3 linked regions of the Yarrowia lipolytica genome follow. The protein of the gene in region 1 interacts with the protein of each later gene in a pairwise test. Links are inferred from orthologs where the notes say so. Each region holds a gene or a part of one and is shown on either strand. Other genes may lie near its edges. The genes, in order: YALI1_B30146g, YALI1_C00739g and YALI1_F27929g.

Region 1 (7,151 bases):
TGCGGATTGTTTGCCGCGCTCTTGATGTACTTGTACAGCCCCCTCGCTAACTTCATATCGGTCATGTCGTTTCCGTCGTATGCACATGCAACTCTAACTGACTTTATAAACACGAGATGGTCCATCATGTCTTCGCACACAGCATAGACACCACTTGAAAAATGACAGCCAAGAGCAAAACGACGGTCATTGACGGCAAAACCCAGCGACTAAACCCCAAGACCACGGACCTCGACTTCTTTGGAATCCCTGGAGCCACCTTTATCACCCTTACGCTGCCGCTTTTCATCTTGTTTCTACAGATCGGATGCACTCCAGAGTCTTGCACAGTGGCTGGTGTGCTGAATATTGACTGGTCAGCGGAGATGACCAAACTAAGAGCCATGCCTCTGTTTGATATCAATGTCTTCGGCGTCTATCTGACCTGGTTCTTCTCCCTGGCAGCATGTGATCTGATCCTGCCTGGCCCCGTGGCTGAAGGGGTGGTTCTGCGAGATGGAAAGACCCGACTCAAGTACAATTTGAATGGAAAGACCGTAATGACCACATTGGCAGTCATTCTGGCTGCTCGATGGGTGCAGACTGGAGGAGCTATGCCCGAACTTGTGTTCTGCTACGACCACTACGTCCAGATTGCCACGTCTGCCATTGTGTGGTCCTTTATTGTTGCCACTTACGTCTACGTGGCCTCTTTTACTCACGACTGCATTCTGTCTGTTGGAGGTAATTCTGGAAACCCCATTTTCGACTGGTTCATTGGCCGAGAGCTTAACCCCCGAATCGGCTCCTTTGACATCAAGTACTTTTGCGAGATGCGGCCTGGTCTGCTTCTGTGGGCTGTGCTCAATCTTGCAATGGCTCACCATGAGTACATCACCAAGGGCTTTGTGTCTCTCCCCATGGCACTTGTTGTTCTGATGGAGATCTATTATGTAGTAGAGGGAAACTGGGAGGAGTATGGAGCCATCCACATGATGGATATCACCACTGATGGATTCGGGTTCATGCTGGCCTTTGGAGATCTTGCTTGGGTCCCCTTTGTGTACACCGTTCAGGCCCGATACCTGTCTACCCGAACGATTGAGTACCCTCTATGGTATGCTGGTATCATTGTGACTCTTTTTGCTACCGGATACTACATTTTCCGAGCCTCAAACAATGAGAAGAATGCGTTCAAGCACGGAGACGCTCCTCACCTGAGGTACATTGAGAACGACAAGGGCAACAAGCTCATCGTCAGTGGCTGGTGGGGTGCAGCTCGACATGTCAATTACCTAGGAGACTGGCTCATTTCTTGGGCCTGGTGTCTTGCCACTGGTTACGAGAGCATCTTCCCTTACTTCTTTGTGGCCTACTTTGGAGTGCTGCTGGTCCATCGAGAGATGCGAGATGACCACAAGTGTGCTCTGAAGTACAAGGAGCTCTGGGTTCAATACAAGAAGGCTGTTCCCAGCGCTATCATCCCAGGCATCTACTAAAATCTGTACAAAGGTGTATAAATAACTATTTAAATTATACTGATCTATTTGTGTGTTTCGTATGGTAGCGGTCTCTGGTACGTAGCATCAGATTGGGATAAATAGAACGTAGATGGATGGATTATATCAATCCAATCAATCAGGTCGCCCGTCTAAACCCACAGTTTTGTCACCTATTTCTTCCCCCTCATTTACTGCTCCTTCTTCTCGTCGACCGGCACATCCTCCAGAAAGGCCACGATGACGTAGCCAATGAGAACAACGTTGGCCACAAAGGCAGCCAGACCGCCGGAAATGAGAGTATTGTCAGTGAACATTTGGGCGGTGAAGAAACAGGTCAACGGTAAGAGGATCATGCATGCTGTGAAGAAGACAAGCTTGTTGAGAACGGATCTGTGTTAGTTGTTGCGACAGCCAAGTAGTCAATGCCACCCAATGCAGTGGTAGCAGATACTCACCTTGGGATGTCGGCCATTTTGTGATGTGTCTGTTGTTTTGCGTGATGTGTGTGTTCTGATGTTCGACGTCCAACTTACTGTATTGTAGCGTGGTGATGTGCGGGAGCCTGCCCTTAGTGAACCTTGATGCCAAAGCTAAATGAAAATGAGACGTGCGTGTCTAACATTGACACCCACACTGAACGCGATAATGAAGCCGAAATTGACGAAGAAGCGAAAAACGGTGCGAAGGAGCGCACTGAACAGACCTCTGGAGACCGATCAACGGCTCCAGGTTGCAACTATTCTCGAAGAAGCAACTTTCCCCATACTGGCAAGAGCTCACAGCGAACCTAAGAAGGTGCGGATATCAGAGGACCTGGGACACTTGCAACGACGTCTTTCGAGACGTCTCGACCGGTTCCCCGTGCCGAAGTCGCTCGGCAATAATTTCGACGCTTCACATCAATACACTCAGATGGAAAAGCTTGAAAACAGCGGAGCCAAGCTGGCACAGCAGATTGAAGCACTGCAGGAAGTGACGCGTCGCCGGACAAACGAGCTGGCCAGAACTATTGAACAGCACCAGAAACTGGCTCAAAAGAGTCTACAATTGGACAACCAGATTGAGGAACGAAGGGGGAACCTCCATGCACTTTTACAAGGCAGTGCGGAGAATGTGGCTGAGGAAAACGCAGCTATCAGCTATCGATACTGTGAGAGAGATATCGATAAGGAAGTGCTGGAGCCATTGGATCAAGATCTTACCAAAATTGTTGATATTTTAGACCATTCGAGAGTCCTAGAAGTGTCTGCGAAGGTGGATGAATTCTTGTGAAGGACTGCGAGTTCCAGTGAACACATCCTTGCCCACCAACGTACTGTAGCTACAGTACAAGTACTCACACAGTACATCCGGTATTTGTAGAGAAATTATTTATTGAATTATTTATTAGAAATGTTATCAAACTAATTGCTATACAATACTACTTCATGCTGCAATGTAGACGAACATACCCGATGAGTGACATCAGACCTACCGATCTGTATGGACTGTACAAATAGTCATGGGCACGTGACTGGTAGTGTGCCAGCCCCAATAATGTAGCCTTCATCTGGTCCATTGGTCTTAGAAACTCGTTCTTTTGAGGTCAATTGGAACCACCTGCCACGCAGAATGTATGCGAGATATATAATGGAATGATATGAACTCTTATGTTGCGTTGGCTGTGTGAAACTCCCGCGTTCCTTATCCCTTGAGAGTGTATACAGTAGACATGATGATAGCTACTGTATTGACAACGGTTGATTAAATTAAGGATCTGTGGGATAGGTAAGGTCAGGGTTCTGGGGTCTTTGTGCTTGCCAAACTAAGAGCGGATTAAGCCTGTATATTCCGTGCAAAAAGGTGTGTGCCCATATTTCTTGCCTAACGCAGGAAAAACTCGTGGACTTGTATCAGAATTGAGACCACATTAGCGGTACTCGTACAGCTACAGTACTGTACGTACAAGTACAGTATGTGCAATACGTATGTAGTCTGTGTCTGTATTTCACACTCCAAAAAGCGACTACTTGTAGATTCGGGCTAGGTTCACGGGAATCGAATAATATGACCTCAGGTGGGTGTTCCCGCTGTGTAGTTGTAATTGAGGGGCCCCCGTTACGGCCCATATATATATTTCGCATAAAATTGAACCTCGTTTCATGTGTGCACTGTTGTGTGTTGCCCCACTGCATGCGTCACATCAACATCACGTACGTAGTACAGTAAATAGTCCCAGCGAGGGGGGCGCATTTGAGTTTCCAATCTTCCACATCACCACTCTAAGGAAGCATCGGCGTGTGCAGCCATACGAGATGGCAGAGATCAAGAAGAACCAAAGCGGAAGCCGCCAGCGCAAGTCCGTGGGAGGGGACCGCTCTGACCGCTCCGATCGCTTGGACCGGTCCGACCGAGACCGGGGCGATAAGAAGACGGCCAACAAGTGGAAGCGACCTGAGCCCAGCCCCACTCACGCTCGCCACATGCACGACCGACTGCTGTTTTTGCTAGCCAAGTCCGTGGGTGAACACGTTACCGTTACCACCGCCTCCGGCGACTCTATCCACGGCTTGCTGGAGGGAGCCTGCACTGAGGGCGACTTGGGAGTCAGCATGCGGTTTGCTGACTCGGGGGCCAAGCAGCTGGTTTTCCAGCCCGAAGACATTGTCGACGTGGCTGTGGCTCTATCCGCGCCCTTACAGGTCGACCAGCGCAAGTTCCGAACCGACACAGACATCAGTGGCCGGCGGGCAGTGGCTGAGCGAGAATTGGAGCGATGGACTCCGGATGCCGACTCCGCCACCTCTGCTCTGACACTCGAGGAATCGGGCACGGGCTCCTGGGACCAGTTTGCAGTCAACGCCGACCGATTTGGAGTGCCCTCCACCTACGATGAACACCTCTACACCACCCGTATCAACACGGAAGGTCCCGACTACCAGGCCAAGATGCGACGGGCCCAGCGATTGGCAGACGAGATTGAGGGCCAGACTGGAGGAAACGCGCATCAGCGAGAGGAGCGAGGAGACACGGTGGATGACTCGGGCATGGACGAGGAAGACAAGTACTCGGGAGTGGACCGAACTAAGACCTATGTTCCTCCTTCTCAGCGAGCCGAGCTGCCCCATGACCCGGCCATCATTTCTGCCGGAGGACTCAGGAAGCCAAACCCCACATCTTCCCAGCCGGACATCATGTCGAGACTGGAGCAGAAACTGGTGGACTCGGCTGCAGTGCCCAAGCGCAACCGAATCCCCGGACTGCCTCTCAACGACCCCTCTGCAACAGCCGCTCCCTCGGCCTCCAAGAAACCCGGATTCGAGAAGGAGCTGGCGTCCCGATACCAAAAGTTCATTGACTTAGAGCGAAACCGAATGGTGTCGCAGAAGGAGGCTGCCAAAACTCACCATGATACCGCCCGGCTCAACGACCTGCGCAAGTTCTCACAGGATTACAAGATCAATACCCCTGTTCCCGAGGACTTGCGTCCCATCCTGGCCAAGGACAAGTCTCGAGACGTTTCCGAGACCACTTCCCCCGAGGCGGCCAATGCACATCTGGACCGAGTGGCTTCGCCCATGTTCGACTCACTGTCCTCCAAGCTCTCGTCCATCCAGATGAGCCGGGAGGCCGACAAGAGCTCCGAAAAGTCGTCTTCACCAGCTGCCGCTGACAAGAATGGTGGAACAGCTGCTGACAACAAGCCTGAACCCGTGGCTAAGTCGTCGCCATCAAAACCCAAGTTCAAGATGAACTTCAAGGCGCCCGAATTCAAGCCCTTCACTCCCAAGGACACCAACGCCCAGCTGGCGACAGCAGCCGCTCCCGAGCCCAGCTCTCCAGCTTTCTTTTCTTCTACGCCAAAGACGGACCGGGCGCCTCTCAGCACCTTGTTCAACCCCTTCAAGAAACCCAAGGCCGAAAACACCCCCTTCCCTCGAGCATTTGAGACCCACCCGACCTGGCACACCGTGGAAGCGGCAGCAGACTCCTCTGTTCTTTTCCCTCCCTTAGAGCAACTGACCATGCAGCGCCCCTTCCTTCACAACGCCATGTCTCCCCAGCGGGGCGGAGCCGTGATGATGCCGTTCTACCAGATGCCTCAGGGAGTACCGCCCATGATGTATCAGTATGGCCCCCAATTTGTGCAGCAACCTTTTGGACCTCCTGGTTACCGAGTTCCCATGCCTCCTGGACAGCCCCCTCAGGGCTACATGCGATACCAGGGTTAGTATGTAGTGAAATAAAGAAAAATGAGTCGATATATGATTACACAAAACTAGTGGTATTTGAATGCTGAACAGAATAGCAGGCTCTGTATGCCCAGAATTTCTTCCAGAAATGCTTCCACTGTGTTTATATGCTCCCCTTGTTCGCCTTCAGTGTGTACAAGTAGGCTTGAGAAGCGTGCATGCTAGATGCGTCCACCAACCTACTGTACTTACATTTCTTCATATGAAGTGAAAGCTACACATACACACCACTATGAATTGGGAAAAGGGTCCCGTCTGTGGCATCGACAATTGTCCCTCGGACTTGTGGCGGTCGGCTGCTGGTCGTACCTTCTGCAGATACGGTCATCAGCGCCAAGACGAGTATGAATACGACAATCAAGACGAAGGAGACCTGGGTGGAGGACGAAAGGTGACTATAGGTTCGGTGAGTGCCATGAAAGATGGAGAGAAGGAGGAGCAACGATGGTTTGGTTCACGGGTCTATGCGCTTCGTGCACAAATCTTCCAGGAGGTGCTTCGCTTTTACACACACTGGGCCATGCAGAAATTCGATTTGGATACCGACTTCGAGGAGGTGGTGAAGGAACTGTGGAGTGTCTTGATCAAGTATACCGACTTCGGACGATCGTCTTACGACCTGGAGGGTGGAGTGCATTCCGAGCCATGCGATACAGGTACAAGCACTCCACTGCTACTCTCTCAGAAAATGGCCATTGAAATCATGTATTTGGCTCTCGTTCAAGTCGGCTATCCTATTTCATTCATTAAGATACTGGGATGGATCATGTCGGGGGAACTGCCATATGATGATGTGGGTGCAAGGTTCACTTCAAAAGAAGCACGTCTGCATATGTCGGGCTCGCGTTCCTGGTGTGCCTGGAAGAAACCACCATCCAGCCAAAGTTTCGGGCGCGGAGTTCTTGCATGTGCTAAGGCACTGGCAAGGGAAGGCGTCATAATCTCACAGCCAAAGATAATCCCAATCATGCACACCGTGGAGGTTCTGATGCTTCCGTTGGGCATCATAGATCGAACCATATGCCTTGCAAAGGGATGTGATATTGATGAGTACTGCGACATGTCGACATCCGGAGGGTTTAGTAGTTTTATGGAAACTGCGAGTTTTGTAATAACCGCGGCCAGAATCGCCTATTACAAGTCGTGGCAGAGTTACGACGAGGATATCAAATCTCCATACTGGAAGCTTTGGTCGGAATTGGCTGAGATCTACTTTCAAGACCCCCTCTACACTGACGAAGTGGACATCCCGGCTTGGACTGACGAAAGATACAACGAGTTTCTTGACATATATCACCGGTCACTCATGATGAATATTGAACGCGAGCCTATTCCTGTTCAATGGAAGCGTGTCAACGACATGTTCCCTCTTCATACCCCATCGGAAGAGCCCCTGGTGACTCCCACGGACCTTGCGACGATTTTGAACGAACAAGTA
Region 2 (7,152 bases), on another chromosome or scaffold:
GTTTTACGACCTCTGTTTGGTGGGGGCATGCTCAATAAATTACTCTAATCTCTACGCCTTGGCGTACTCCTTGGTCCAGTCCCGGGCAGTCTGAATAGCAGTCTTCTCGTCCTCCTTCCACTTTTGTGCCACGTCATTGGCGAGCGGGTCGTCAGGATTGGGAGCTCCAAGCAGCGCCTGGATGGACAGCAGAATGGTTCGGATCTGCAAAGCAGGCGACCAGTTGGACTTGAGCACGTCCAGACAGATTCGGCCAAGTCGATCAATGTTGGGGTGGTAGATTTTGGTCAGAAATCGCACCTTGGGGGGCACCATGGGGTAGTCTTCGGGCAGAAAGAGCTCCAGCTTGAAAGTACCGCCCTCGTAGGGGGAAGAGGTAGGCCCGTCGATAGTGACGTCGAAGTACCGCAGGTTGTCGTCGTGGGGTGCAGCGGAGATTCCCGGCACGGGCTCCTTGACGAGCCGCTCGGTCTCCTTGCTGATTCTCTTGGGAAGGGCGTTCATTGGGGGTGTATTGAAGATGCTAACAATGTACGCACAGTGGTTGAGATAACCGTGATATTGGGAGAGACAGCCCTAACCCTACTATACGATATGAAATGCAAGCCACAGGCGAGGCGAAAAAAAGTAGACACTATCCCGCACAACCACAATGATCACCAAGATCCCAAAAACAGGCGCCACTTTCAACAGCAGATTCGTTGCTCTGTCGATAGGACTCACTTTCGGGGCCGTCTGGGGAGTGTGGCTTATGAACAAGAATTATGTTCTGGTGAGTATGACAGTAGGAGGTAGCTGAGGGCGCAGCCCGAGAGCTAATGACCAAGGACTTTCTGCGGCAGATCAAGGACTTCCAAGAAAAATCAAGACTCCAAGAAAATCAAGGGATGCTAGACAGAACTTCTGGACATTACTTTCCGATTGTAGTGGTAAGGAGACGACCGAAGCCTTGACCCCAGTGTGGCAACACAGACAGTTGTTGCAGCGAAAGTTGGTGAATCAGCTCATGGAGTTCATTTGTTCTCGTGGGATTGACCTTTGGAAACCTATCCTGGTCGTCATGCTAGCTTTACGCTTACCACTCTCAGTATCAACTAACCCAGGTGGAGAAAATTGAACCCGAGGAGAAACCCAAGGGCTTTTCGATCAAGTTTGTGGATGCCACTCCTCTTAAATCAAAGAAACAGCTCATACAGGAGCGAGCCGAAGAGATCCGGCAGCAAGAGGCAGATAGTATTACTTCGTTCCTCGTTCAGTCCGATGAAAAGAAGTGACCACCTTGAGCGACAGGAAGAAATGACCACAACCGCTTTCACAACAGATGTATATATTAATTTATGATATGAGTTTCCGACTCGATAGTCCTTTGATGAGCCATTGTACTAGTACAGTATTGGACGACTGCCTTATGTACACCGTCTTTCATGATCTACTCTACACCCAAAGCCCATGTTGATTTGGTCTTGGTGTCGAACAGGGATATATTCGTGATTTGAGAGAATTGCACCATTTCCCCCGTTGAAATCTTTAGTTGAGATTAGTGATATTGAGAATACTGCTGCGACTACAATACTATACATACGTATGCACACTATATCGCAGCACCTTTGTCGTCGTTGAACACTCCCAGAATCAACTGTATCGCAATTCCCAGACCACTTTAGTATTGCAACATGCGCACTGTGAATCCATTGGTGGTAACATATTTCCAATTGACCAACAACAACGTTAGTTACAAACCAATTACCAATGGCCTCAATCATGACTCTCTATAATTCATCTACAAGTACATACTCACTGCTATGCAAGTGGTACTGCTCGGGTTTTGGCTCACTACTTGGCTTATCCTTATCACATAATCCACACATTTTATTACACAATTACTCCTCCTTCTGAGAGTTGAGGTACTCGTTGTAGGCGGTGATGGCGTCGTTGATCTGAGCCTGGAGACCCTCCTCGTCGTCAATGACCTCGAGAATCTCCTTGATGGGCATCTCGAGCAGCATACCGGTGATCTTACCGGCAAACTCGGCGTTACCATCAATGGCCTTCTCAGCGAGAACCTTGGGGTACAGAGCCTCACCAACGAGCTGCTTGTGCTGCTCCTCAGGAGCGTTCTCAAGAGCGTTAGAAATGGAGTCGGCAACTCGGGACTCACCGTCCTTTCGTCGGGGAGCACCTCGGAACTGACCCTGGGGACCGGGCTGGCCGGATCGGGGAGGCTGGCCGCCTCGCATGGGGCCCTGGGGAGGGAAACCACCCTGCTGGTAGCCCTGAGGAGGAGCGCCGTACATGTTGGGGCCACCGGGAACACCTCGGGGAGGGAACTGGTTCTGGGGAGGCATGGGGGGTCGCATCATCATCTGGGGGTTAGCACCAAAAGGCATTCCACCTCGTCCAGGAGGCATGAAGCCGGGCTGGCCGGGGTAGAAGACACCGGGGTTGCCCATGTACTGGCCGGGGAGACCACCAGCGGCAGCCTGCTGCTGGAGTCGCATCTGGTTCTTGGCCTGGATCTGCTGCTGGAGCTGAGATCGTCGGACGTCCTTTCGCTGGGCAAGGACAACGTACAGAGGCTTGCCGGCAACAAGTCGGTGGTTCATCTCAGTGACAGCCTTGGTGGCCTCCTCGGGAGAGGAGTAGCAGACGAAACCGAAGCCCTTGGACTTACCAGCCTCGTCAACCATGACCTTAGCAGAGGTGATGGTTCCGTGGGGGGCAAACTCGGCTCGCAGCTTGTCGTCGTCAATGGTGTCATCGAGGTTCTTGATGTACAGGTTGACGCCCTGGTACTTGTTGAGCTTCTCAAGTCGAGAGGCCTCGTACTGCTTTCGGAGCTCGTCGGCTCGCTCATACTTCTTCTTGGCTCGGCCGGCGAAGAGCTTGTTTCCCTTGAACTCAGTCTCGGACAGACCGTCGATGGCCTTGACGGCAACGTCGTGCTCCTTGTAGTCGACGAAACCAAAACCGGTGGGCTTGCCCTCGTCATTGGTGGAGAGGTGGACAGAGGAGGTCTCTCCGAACTTGTTGACGAGCTCCTCAAACTCAGCCTCGGTGATCTCGGTACCAAGGTTCTTGATGAACACGTTGGTGAAGGAGTTCTTCTGCTCCTCGAAAGACTGCATTCGATCAGACTTGGGGACGTGGGGACCAACGAAGACCTTCTTGTCGTTCAGAAGCATACCGTTGACGTGCTGGATGGCAGACTCGGCAGACTCGGCAGACTCGTAGTGGACGAATCCGAAACCTCGAGAGTTGCCAAACTCATCGGTGGCAATCTTGCAGGACAGAATCTGGCCAAAGGCAGAGAAGGTGTCGTGCAGAGCCTTGTTGTCAATGGCAGGGTCCAGGTTCTTGATGTAGATGTTGCCGGCTCCGGTCTTTCGCAGAGCAGGGTCTCGCTGAGACCACATGATTCGGCAGGGTCGCTCCTTGATGGGGGAGTAGTTGAGCTCCTCAAGAGCTCGGATACCGTCAGCCTGGTTGTGGAAGTTGACGTAGGCGTATCCAAGAGATCGTCGGGTGATGGCGTCTCGGCACACTCGGACGGAGGTAACGGGGCCAATGGGGTTGAAGATCTCAAACAGCATGGCCTCGGTAACGGAGGGATCAAGCTCTCCGACGTAGAGGGAGGCGTTGTCGCCCTGGTCCTCCTTGGAGCCCTTCTCCTCGGAGGACTCAGTCTTGGCCTCTCCCTCAGCGGGGGCAGCCTCAGTGGTGGTCTCCTCCTTGGTGGCAGGGGAGGCCTCGGCCTTGTTCTCGAGGGTCATCTTCTCGAGAGCCTTCTCGGCAGCAACAAGAGAAGCGTCAGCAGACATTGTTGAGAACAGAAATTAAACTAGGAAACGTAAGCGAATACTTCCTAAGAAAAAAAAGGGTGGCTTTGTGGTTAAGAGACACAAAAGCGCGGGGGGCGAGAAAGTTGGATTTTTTTTTGCTTTTTGGATTTTATGAGACTAATAGATACCGAGCGGGGGGTGATCTATTGTTGTCTGTCTTTTTTTGGGGTTTTGGAGGTCGTCAACAACGAGTGGTCGTTTGTCGAAGATGGTTGTGTTGTGGGATATGTAGAACGTCACCTGCAGAAAGCAGAAAAAAATGGCCTTGGGAAAAATCTTCATGTAACAATTTTAAGCTTTATGGCCGTATTGGGAAAGCACGTGATGGGCCACAACTCCAATGTAGCCGTAACAGTATGGCCAATGGGCGGATCCAACACTCTAGCGGTGTTTTAGTGGACAGTGTTCGTTGGTGGCAACGTCCCCTTCAATCCTGAACGCTGAAATCGTCTCTCTCCACTTCCAAAGTCTCCTGAGTTTTAACTACCATTCTATAGTGGTGAGGTTACGTGCCGGGTAACTGGAGGCTTACAAGTGAAAACTTTGGGGCCCACACAGACGACGCCAAAAAAAAAATTTGATGCATGCTGCAGTAACACATGCAGTATGTACACTCACGTACAGCGTAAGTTGGGTAATCCAAAAAACAAATAGCGATGCCCGGTTTCGATCCGGGGACATCAGGGTTATGAGCCCTGCGCGCTTCCGCTGCGCCACATCGCTGATAATTTTTAAAAATTGTAAATTAGCCCCAATCCATGGTGAAAAATGCGGATTTACACCCTAACCCTTGGTTTCCTGATCTGGACACCAAAGGTCCACCCTATAAAACAACACTCACGTTCTACAGTAGCAGCTTATGATAAGACTGTGGGGTAGATAAAGGGCTACCAAGACAAAAGGGAACTAATTTTGGCTAGAATTATGAATCTTTAAATTGCTGCTGTACCATTGGGCTCTTGGTTGCTCTTGGAATCTCCACAGTCTCGATTTCAGTTCTGCGTCTGATTCTGTTGGAATGAATTGAGACAGCACTACATACGGGTATCTACGACGAGGGTCATTGTTGTGATGTTACTGCAGTTGCCAATCGTCAAAATGGTTCTAAATTTAGCATCGTACAGAGCAATTTTATTTGTAGAGTACGCAGAGTACGTTGTAGTTGGGTGAGATGGGTGGAATGTGGAAAGATCGTGGGTCTATTTATGGAAGTCTGAGGACCTCACACACAAGGACGTTCCTGTATTGAACTCTACTGTACTGTAGGCTAAATACTACAAGTAGATGCAAGTAAAGAGGAGGGCTATGGAAAAGCGCAGTAATGTACGATACTCGTCGGTGCGATACGGTACAGTATTGGCTTAGATGAGTTTGTCATTTGCAGACTCTGACGGATCAGACGAGCTACTTTCTTTTGGTTTCTGACAGCTGAAAGAATCATGACGTTGGTTAGTGCCAGCGGAAACGACAGGAGGTAGACCCTGAAGAGGTGTCACAAAGTTATCAGATCAATCTCCCCTTCTCCGCCATCTGAGTGAGTGCTCCTACACGTACGGTACTCCACTCACCCTGCATCATCTATTTTTATCTCTCTTCGGCGAGATTGCATTCCCTTTGCTGATGTCGACTTCCCACTCTGTCAAGTCCAGGGCAAATTAACTCACTGCGCGCGAGCGCGGCAGACGCGTGTCGAGCACTGCATTCTCGTCTCGTAAAACCATGTTAGGCTGCATGCGGATGAGTTGAAATGTGCAGCTTCCGATGAAACGGTTGAAACGGTCGTGTTACAGGTTGTAGGGTCTGAGTGCGGCTCATCAGGAAAACAGAACGAGGAACAAGAGACACATTTGCCTCGTTTCGTCAGTTTTGGGGCTGTGTTCATGGCCCGGGGAGCGTCTAAATCGCCCCATGGAATGTTCGTAATTGAAGTTTCCGCAAGCAGTAGCACTGTGGAACGGACGATACAAGAACTGATACTCGTACTGTACCTCAGGCTCGTTGGCTTAGTCAGATTCCATTGCCACAAACGCATCCCACACAGGCCAAAATCGTACCTTTCAGCCGTGGACTCTCACTACTGTACTTGCACGGGTACGTATGATCTCACCGCCCACAGGTTGACTAACTGCTTGTCTGCATGACGTAATGCCAACGGCAGAGGCAGATCCAACAACGGTCAAAGGTAGAGCCAAGGAAGGGGCTCATTTTCTGAGCCAGCAGTCTAACCGAGGGCTAGGGGTCGGGGCGGAAGCAGAGCCGAGGGGTAAACGCTGTGAGTAAGCATCATAGCAAGGTTTGTATAGCAATATAACATGTTCTGACTAGTTGCTATTGCGGTAGGCGGGTCATGTCGCCTCTACCGATTCCCCCCAGGGCCACGGCTAGCTACTTGGAGACTAGCTATCAGATCTTCGGCAGTCAATGCATCCGCCAAAATATGATTGGTAAAGTTGCATGCTATCTCCGTGATATATACCCCTAAAGATGCCAGGACAAAGCCGCCACGTGTAGCGCATGGAACACTGCATGGCAGCTGGAAGCACACTGGCTCCTTATGGCGCGAATGCGAGGATCCGAGAGCGTCTTGTAGGTGGAACATGGGCGTTTGGATGCCGAGAAATGTGGTGCTAGCCATGTCCCCATTGTCCTGACGTCTAAAACCACTGTCAAAATCAGTATTTACCGGTGCCCCCCAAACCCCTCCGACAGTCCCAAATACCTCTATTTAGCTCCAACAAAAATTTTACCACTGATAAACTCAAATAGTTAGGCCGGAATGCCCTCTCGGACTTCACTATGTGGTAGAGTTCAGAGTCAGGTGGCTGGTGCGCGGTATTAAGAGTATATGAGAGTTAGTGCACTCCGGCTGAACAGACAACGCCGACAGAGACCCAGTATAGCTCAGACTTTCTCTTTTCACACCACGATTGTTTCTTTTCCACCGGGCCATTTCGCAGCTTGAGCCCGACCGCAGACTACACAGCCGTCATCTTTGAGACGCCCTTGAAACGTGCTACGGATTACAGTGAGTATGGCAGGATACCTGGCCCTCGAGGCCCCCGTCTTGCGGCTTTATGCCCGAGAGAGATACTGAGCGGCAGGAGGGTGGCAATATGGAGACAGACCGACTCGGTGAGAGGGTTGGATGTCAGGAATTCCGCGTCGTCCGCGCCCTCTATGGGAGGAGTATGAACAACTGAGCGTTTATCTCCGAAATGCAGCTGAGAGCTCTTTACTGGTGGCAATGAAGAGGCACCACGGAATGGAATGGAAATTGAGAGACATTTGCCACTGAAGAATAACCCGTGTAATC
Region 3 (6,524 bases), on another chromosome or scaffold:
GACACTGTACATTCCTGTTCACGATAACTGCCAGCAAAGCACTATTCTCGCCGCCGGATTATTCCCATTAGTATAACACACACAACACAGTAGTTTCCCGCCGATCAGCTTTACGTCACTACGATACCAACCTCTTCTCTTGTTCTGGCCCCACTGCCCACTAATCCCATCATCTCCACCAAAACACCCCATTAAGCTCTTATCTACCTCCACTATATGCCTGTCGCCGAGACTGATCGACACGGCCAGCGGACATCAGACATGCTTGTAGTCTGGAGACCTACATTTCGGTAATGACTTGTAGACTTTCCAAAAGAAGTCGCTTTCTCTCCACCACCACCTCCCGAGCTACCATCTCCTCACCATTCCACTTACAAAACAACATCAATGACAATGCTTACTATATGATTTATTTTGGAAACGTCCACTCTATGCACCAAACAACATGCTTCTCTCCTCTCCTCAGAGTCTTCTCTTCACCCTTCTACTGCACGCTCATGGCCCAGGCCTTCATGTCAACCTGCTTGGCCCGAGACGTGATGATAAAGGCATCGTTGATGAGCTGCTGAGGGGAAGGACGCTCGGCCTCCTTATACAGACACCGGTCGACAAACCGTCTGCACACGGGCGAGAACCTGGTGTCTTCTGCCGGCAGGGTTGGCGGAGGTTCGTTGACGATTCGCTGCAGCAGATCAAGAATACCCATGGGTCCCACAGCTCCGTTAGCCATGTCAAAGGGGAACTTTCCCAGCAGCAACTCCAGCAGCGAGATGCCAAGCGACCACACGTCGGACTTGACAGTGTAGTTTCCTCCCTGGATTCGTTCGGGTGACATGTACGTTGAGGTGCCAACAAAGGTGTCTGCGATGGAGTTGATGAGCTCGCCAGACACTCCAAAGTCGCACAGCTTGATCTGGCCATGGGAGTTGACGAGAATGTTGGACGGCTTGACGTCTCTGTGGACGATGCGGTGCTCGTTGTATAGATACGTTAGGCCCTCGACGACGGCCACGGTGATATGGCCGACAATCTCTTCGGTCAGCGGGCCGGCCTTCTTGTAGATGCGGTCCAGTGAGCCGCAGTCCATAAACTCCATGCACATGACCACGTCGCCGGACGACTCGTTGATGAAGGCGCCGTAGAAGGAGACAATGTAGGGCGAGTCGCACTCGTGCATAATGTGCAGCTCCCGCAAAATCTGGCGTCGCACGGCCTCCTTTGCCTCGATATGGATCACCTTCTTGGCCATGACGGCACCAGTGGGGATGTGTTCCACCCGGGAGACGGACCCGCCGTTGCCTGCGCCCAGCTCCTGTATGGTGCGCAGATCCTGAGCCCGGATGTCGATTTTGAACTCCACGCCCAGCTCCAGCGATGCCATTTGGCTTATCAGGTTGCCTGCTGAGGGCGCTCTCTGGAGCGTGGGTTTGTCGAGGGTGAAGGGCTGTGATGGCGGAGGGGAAGCTGTTGCCTGGGGCGCCACTCCGGCGTCGGCGTTGAGTGACAGCTTCTTGAAGTTTTTGCGCTTCAGCGTCTTGGGTTTGAGGTCGACAGACATGTTCACACGATGGACAATGTACCGTTTTTATCGGTCTATTGTCTGGCAGGTTGAAGGTTGTGGTTTTACCGTACGTTGGGAGAGACGCTACGCGTTGGCGATGCGCTTGGTGCAGACCTTGGCCGAATGGGGAAGTGGTTGTGGATGGATGGGGTGTGGGTGCAAAAGGCTACAAGTAGGGGGGTTGGGGCATGTGGCTTGATATATATATATCGGAGTTAATTATTTTGTGCAAGTTGCCAGGTGGCCGGGACAAATGGGGCAACGACGATCTCTGAACACAAGAGTCCACACACATCTGTATCGTTCCGGCACCAGTAGCTACTCTGCCATCGCTCAGCTCATGCCACTACGATACTTATACTTGGAGCTAACCTTGATTGAAAATGGGAGGGCAATTTCCGAGGTAATACCACCCACGTACAGTATGTACTCTTGACGCCGTGACCTTGGCCCACATTCGAGCTGCACTGCACTGCCTGAACCGGACGAGAGAGTCCAAATGGGCCGTCGTTATGGTTGGGTATGAGACTTGGAACACTGGAAGCAGTGTTTCGATGTGTTTGGTGGGAGGTATCAGCGTTCTGTTGTCGATGTGGATCAGTGATACTAAAGTAATCACACTTGTACTTTTAGCTTAGATGGGTGACAAAATGGTGATTTCTAGCGCGTACAAGTATCGCGATGTACTTCTCTCTGCTAGCTGATGAAGAGACAGCATCTGTGACCACTGTACCGACAGTATCTGCGACTACAAGTATCTGTTCAGCACACATGCTCGTACCGTACAAGTACACCTTTCTATACCTTCGATGAGGTTCGCGTGGATAATTTAATGGAAGTATATCTGTTTTGCTGAAGGGGGAAATGGGCTGCGTGTGTGGGAGCAATATTACATACATCTGACTGTTCAGACGTTGGACGAGACAGTCATAATATGTGCCCCATTACAGGTTGAGGTGAAGCGCGTGTATGGGGGAAAACCAGCGGATGATCGTCCCATCTTCGTCATTTCACTCGTTTACACTACAAGTGATATCTTCACTCATTCTCTGCTCTGCTCCTCTCCAAGCCACCGTCGTGCCCAGACAAAGTTCGTCAACCGGGTAAGTGGCGAGCTGTAATAGGTGTGCAGGTGAGGATAGAGACAGAAAAGGGTTACGACAGCAAAAAAACAGAGGGAGCCAGCAAAATGACAAACGTGGAAAAGAGAGATAACAAAAAAAGGACCTCTTTATATAACTACGTAGCAAACCAACACCACATTCTCCATGTCAAGGTGGCCTGGAGTCCTCCTCCCCACGGTCACGGACACTCCAACTTACCCTTCCCAATGAATCCACACCCCAGTAAAGTTTTCAATACACCCACAACCAGCCGACAATCTCTTCTTTCTCCCCTACCTCCAATACAGCCAACTGTTTTATTGCCATCCATCACAGAACACCAGAACACAAACATATCTGGAGTTTTCTAATCGACAATTGACACCTACACTGTTCCATCGCAGGTCCCTACTTCTGAGTTTCCGGATATCCATACTTCCCGTTTGCCCACGACACGCACCACGACACCGCACCACCCCACATTTTACACAAAAACATGTCTGAGTGGAAAGAGTCGTTAAACGTGCCCAAAAAGGACACGCGTCACAAAACCGAAGATGTGACCGCCACAAAGGGTACAGGGTTCGAGGACTTTTTCCTCAAACGAGAGCTGCTCATGGGCATCTTTGAAGCAGGATTCGAAAACCCCTCGCCCATTCAGGAAGAGGCGATCCCCATTGCCCTCGCAGGCCGAGATATTCTGGCCCGAGCCAAGAACGGAACCGGCAAGACCGCCGCGTTTGTGATCCCAGCCCTCCAGCAGGTCAACCCCAAAGTTAACAAGATCCAGGCGCTTATCATGGTGCCCACCCGAGAGCTGGCACTCCAGACCTCACAGGTTTGCAAGACCCTAGGCAAGCATCTTGGCATCAAGGTCATGGTCACCACCGGTGGCACCAACCTCAGAGACGACATTATGCGTCTGGAAGACACGGTACACGTGTTGGTCGGCACTCCCGGCCGAGTGCTGGATCTAGCAGGAAAGGGCGTCGCTGATCTCAGCGAGTCGCCCATGTTTATTATGGACGAGGCCGACAAGTTGCTGTCGCCGGACTTCACACCCATCATCGAGCAGGTGCTCCATTTCTTCCCTGAGGACCGTCAGATCCTGCTCTTCTCCGCCACCTTCCCTCTGACTGTCAAGGCCTTTATGGACCGAAACCTGCACAAGCCTTACGAAATCAACCTGATGGACGAGCTGACCCTAAGAGGTATCACGCAGTACTACGCCTTTGTCGACGAGAAACAGAAGCTGCATTGTCTCAACACGCTCTTTTCTAAGCTCGACATCAACCAGTCCATCATTTTCTGCAACTCCACTGTGCGAGTTGAGCTACTTGCCCGAAAGATCACTGAGCTGGGATACTCATGTTACTACTCCCACGCCAAGATGATCCAGAGCCATCGAAACCGAGTCTTCCATGAGTTCCGAAACGGCACGTGCCGAAACCTCGTCTGTTCCGATTTGCTTACCCGAGGTATCGATATCCAGGCCGTCAACGTGGTCATCAACTTTGACTTCCCTAAGAACGCCGAGACCTATCTCCATCGAATTGGTCGATCTGGACGATTTGGCCATCTCGGTATTGCCATCAACCTCATTAACTGGAACGACCGATACAACCTGTACAAGATTGAGCAGGAACTTGGAACTGAGATCAAGCCCATCCCTGCCCAGATCGACAAGAACCTCTACGTTGCCGAGTCCAGCGAGAACATCCCCCGACCCTTCCCCATTGCTGATATGCCTCGAGGCAAGGAGAGTAAGCGAAACGAGCAATTCCAGCCCCAGCAGAACCAGAACCAGCAGCAGCAACAGGACGGTCAAAACCAGCACTCTCTGGGTCCCGTACCTCCCCAGGGTCCTCCTCAGGGCATTCCCGGCCCCGGATACGGCTACCCTCCTCCTCAGGGCTTCCCTCAGGGAATGCCTCCTCAGGGAATGCCTCCTCAGGGAGCCGGCGGCTACATGCCCCCTACTCCCTATGGTTACCAGCAGCAGGGCTTCCCTCCTCAGCCGCCACAGGGCTTCAACAATGGCCAGCCCCAGCAGCCGTCGCAGTAAGAACGCGAGCCTGAAAAAAGCGATTACAATCTTCCTTTGGTTTTTTGTGTACGGTTTTTGTGGGTTATCTTTCCCACTTTCCGCCATATTTTTCCAACCCTTTTTTTTTGACCTTTTTTTCGTCTCTGGGGTATATAGCAATATGATATTCTAGTTGGTGACTGATGAAACGTTGTACTGTAGCTACAAGTGTGGTTCAGTCGAATGCCGTGGGTACCCGAACATGTATAAGTAAGATCATGGCTCTGGTACGGCTACTGTAAAAGTCTATCTCCAGAAATGCATGAAATGTATCCTGGGCCACTGCGAGAAGCATGGGACCCGAGTAGACCGTGTGCGCGAGATCTATTGCAGGTGCAGCCAATACGTGAGTCACGGTCGCTCTGTAGAGTGTAGATTGGTTTTGTATCTTTGGTGTAAGCCGCTTACCAGGATGCTACAAGTAGGGTAGTCTTGTGTCAGATCAAAATGTGTGGCTGCTCTGTGCCAAAAATTTGACTACTAAGCTTTTGGGATTGGGTATGACTTATTGGCCATCATTCGTGAGTGAAGCATTTTTACTGTCTGGGGACACTGCAGAGCTATGCAGAATTAGTAGTGGAGAATGCCTACTGGTGCTGTTGCGGGCATTAGGGGGGATGAGGTACGATGTAGGGATAGGTCCGGGCAGGGACTTGCATTAATTGGTCTACAATGTAGGGCGTCGAATCTGGGTAAAAACACACCGAGTATGTGTACGTACATGCCCATGGCCATTGGTGCCTATGGACCCGAGTTACTGACAACGGGTGTCTGTTGCAAAGTGTGAAGCTTAAAAAATATTTTTAATTCGAAAATGGTATCGACGTGCTAAAAGCTCTTTCTACTAACGTCCAGTGTTCACCACCCCACCCACAACACCCCCCCACATCACCCACACACAATCATGAGCCTTCGAATTCTGCTGGTTGGCAACGGTGGCCGAGAGCACGCCCTTGCATGGAAGCTGGCTCAGTCTCCTCTGGTGGAGCGAATCTTTGTTGCCCCCGGAAACGGAGGAACCGACAACCCCCAGGGAAAGATCGAGAACATTGCGATTGGCTCTTCCCAGAAGGACTTCGCCAAGCTCGTCGAGTTTGCCCAGTCCAAGGATGTTGGTCTCGTCATTCCCGGTCCCGAACAGCCTCTGGTCGAGGGAATTGAGACCCACTTCCGAAAGGTTGGTATCCCCGTCTTTGGCCCTTCTGAGAAGGCTGCCGTCATGGAGGGCTCCAAGACTTTCTCCAAGGACTTCATGAAGAAGCACAACATCCCCACCGCCGCGTTTGAGAACTTCACTGACTACAACAAGGCCGTGGACTACGTCAAGAAGGTGGGCCACCGAGTCGTAATCAAGGCTTCTGGTCTGGCTGCAGGCAAGGGCGTGCTCATTCCCACCTCCACCGAGGAGGCCATTGCCGCCGTCAAGGAGGTTATGCAGGACAAGGCCTTTGGCGAGGCTGGTGACGAGGTTGTCATCGAGGAGTTCCTCGAGGGAGACGAGCTCTCCATTCTGGCTTTCTCCGACGGTTACACTGTCGTTGACATGCCCCCCGCCCAGGACCACAAGCGAATTGGCGATGGCGACCAGGGACTTAACACCGGCGGAATGGGTGCTTACTGCCCTGCTCCCATCGGTACCCCTGCTCTTCTCCAGGAGATCAAGGAGTCCATTCTCCAGCCCACCATTGACGGTATGCGACGAGACGGTATCCCCTTTGTCGGTATGCTCTTCACTGGAATCATGCTGACTCCCGACGGAAAGCCTAAGGTGCTC

What was found.
Region 2: the proteins of YALI1_B30146g (region 1) and YALI1_C00739g interact in a two-hybrid assay, tested with the Saccharomyces cerevisiae proteins (2 studies listed by BioGRID). The link is inferred for Yarrowia lipolytica from reciprocal best matches to the Saccharomyces cerevisiae genes PBP1 and PAB1.
Region 3: the proteins of YALI1_B30146g (region 1) and YALI1_F27929g interact in a two-hybrid assay, tested with the Saccharomyces cerevisiae proteins (2 studies listed by BioGRID, with this or other methods). The link is inferred for Yarrowia lipolytica from reciprocal best matches to the Saccharomyces cerevisiae genes PBP1 and DHH1.

Annotation. Positions count from the first base shown.
Region 1 is NC_090771.1:3,011,141-3,018,291, reverse strand, and holds YALI1_B30146g (uncharacterized protein), read left to right. Parts: upstream 1-3,622; coding exon 3,623-5,692; downstream 5,693-7,151. Other genes in the region: YALI1_B30182g (uncharacterized protein), read right to left, coding at 90-125; YALI1_B30181g (uncharacterized protein), read left to right, coding at 162-1,478; YALI1_B30163g (uncharacterized protein), read right to left, coding at 1,670-1,871, 1,937-1,953; YALI1_B30162g (uncharacterized protein), read left to right, coding at 2,076-2,753; YALI1_B30123g (uncharacterized protein), read left to right, coding at 5,946-7,151. UniProt on the Saccharomyces cerevisiae protein: Involved in pre-mRNA polyadenylation. May act to repress the ability of PAB1 to negatively regulate polyadenylation. Negative regulator of poly(A) nuclease (PAN) activity.
Region 2 is NC_090772.1:70,640-77,791, reverse strand, and holds YALI1_C00739g (uncharacterized protein), read right to left. Parts: upstream 3,819-7,152; coding exon 1,881-3,818; downstream 1-1,880. Other genes in the region: YALI1_C00772g (uncharacterized protein), read right to left, coding at 52-504; YALI1_C00766g (uncharacterized protein), read left to right, coding at 653-772, 1,104-1,274; YALI1_C00710g (uncharacterized protein), read left to right, coding at 6,685-6,690, 6,735-7,031. UniProt on the Saccharomyces cerevisiae protein: Binds the poly(A) tail of mRNA. Appears to be an important mediator of the multiple roles of the poly(A) tail in mRNA biogenesis, stability and translation.
Region 3 is NC_090775.1:2,789,567-2,796,090, reverse strand, and holds YALI1_F27929g (uncharacterized protein), read left to right. Parts: upstream 1-3,160; coding exon 3,161-4,729; downstream 4,730-6,524. Other genes in the region: YALI1_F27945g (uncharacterized protein), read right to left, coding at 485-1,558; YALI1_F27904g (uncharacterized protein), read left to right, coding at 5,655-6,524. UniProt on the Saccharomyces cerevisiae protein: ATP-dependent RNA helicase involved in mRNA turnover, and more specifically in mRNA decapping by activating the decapping enzyme DCP1.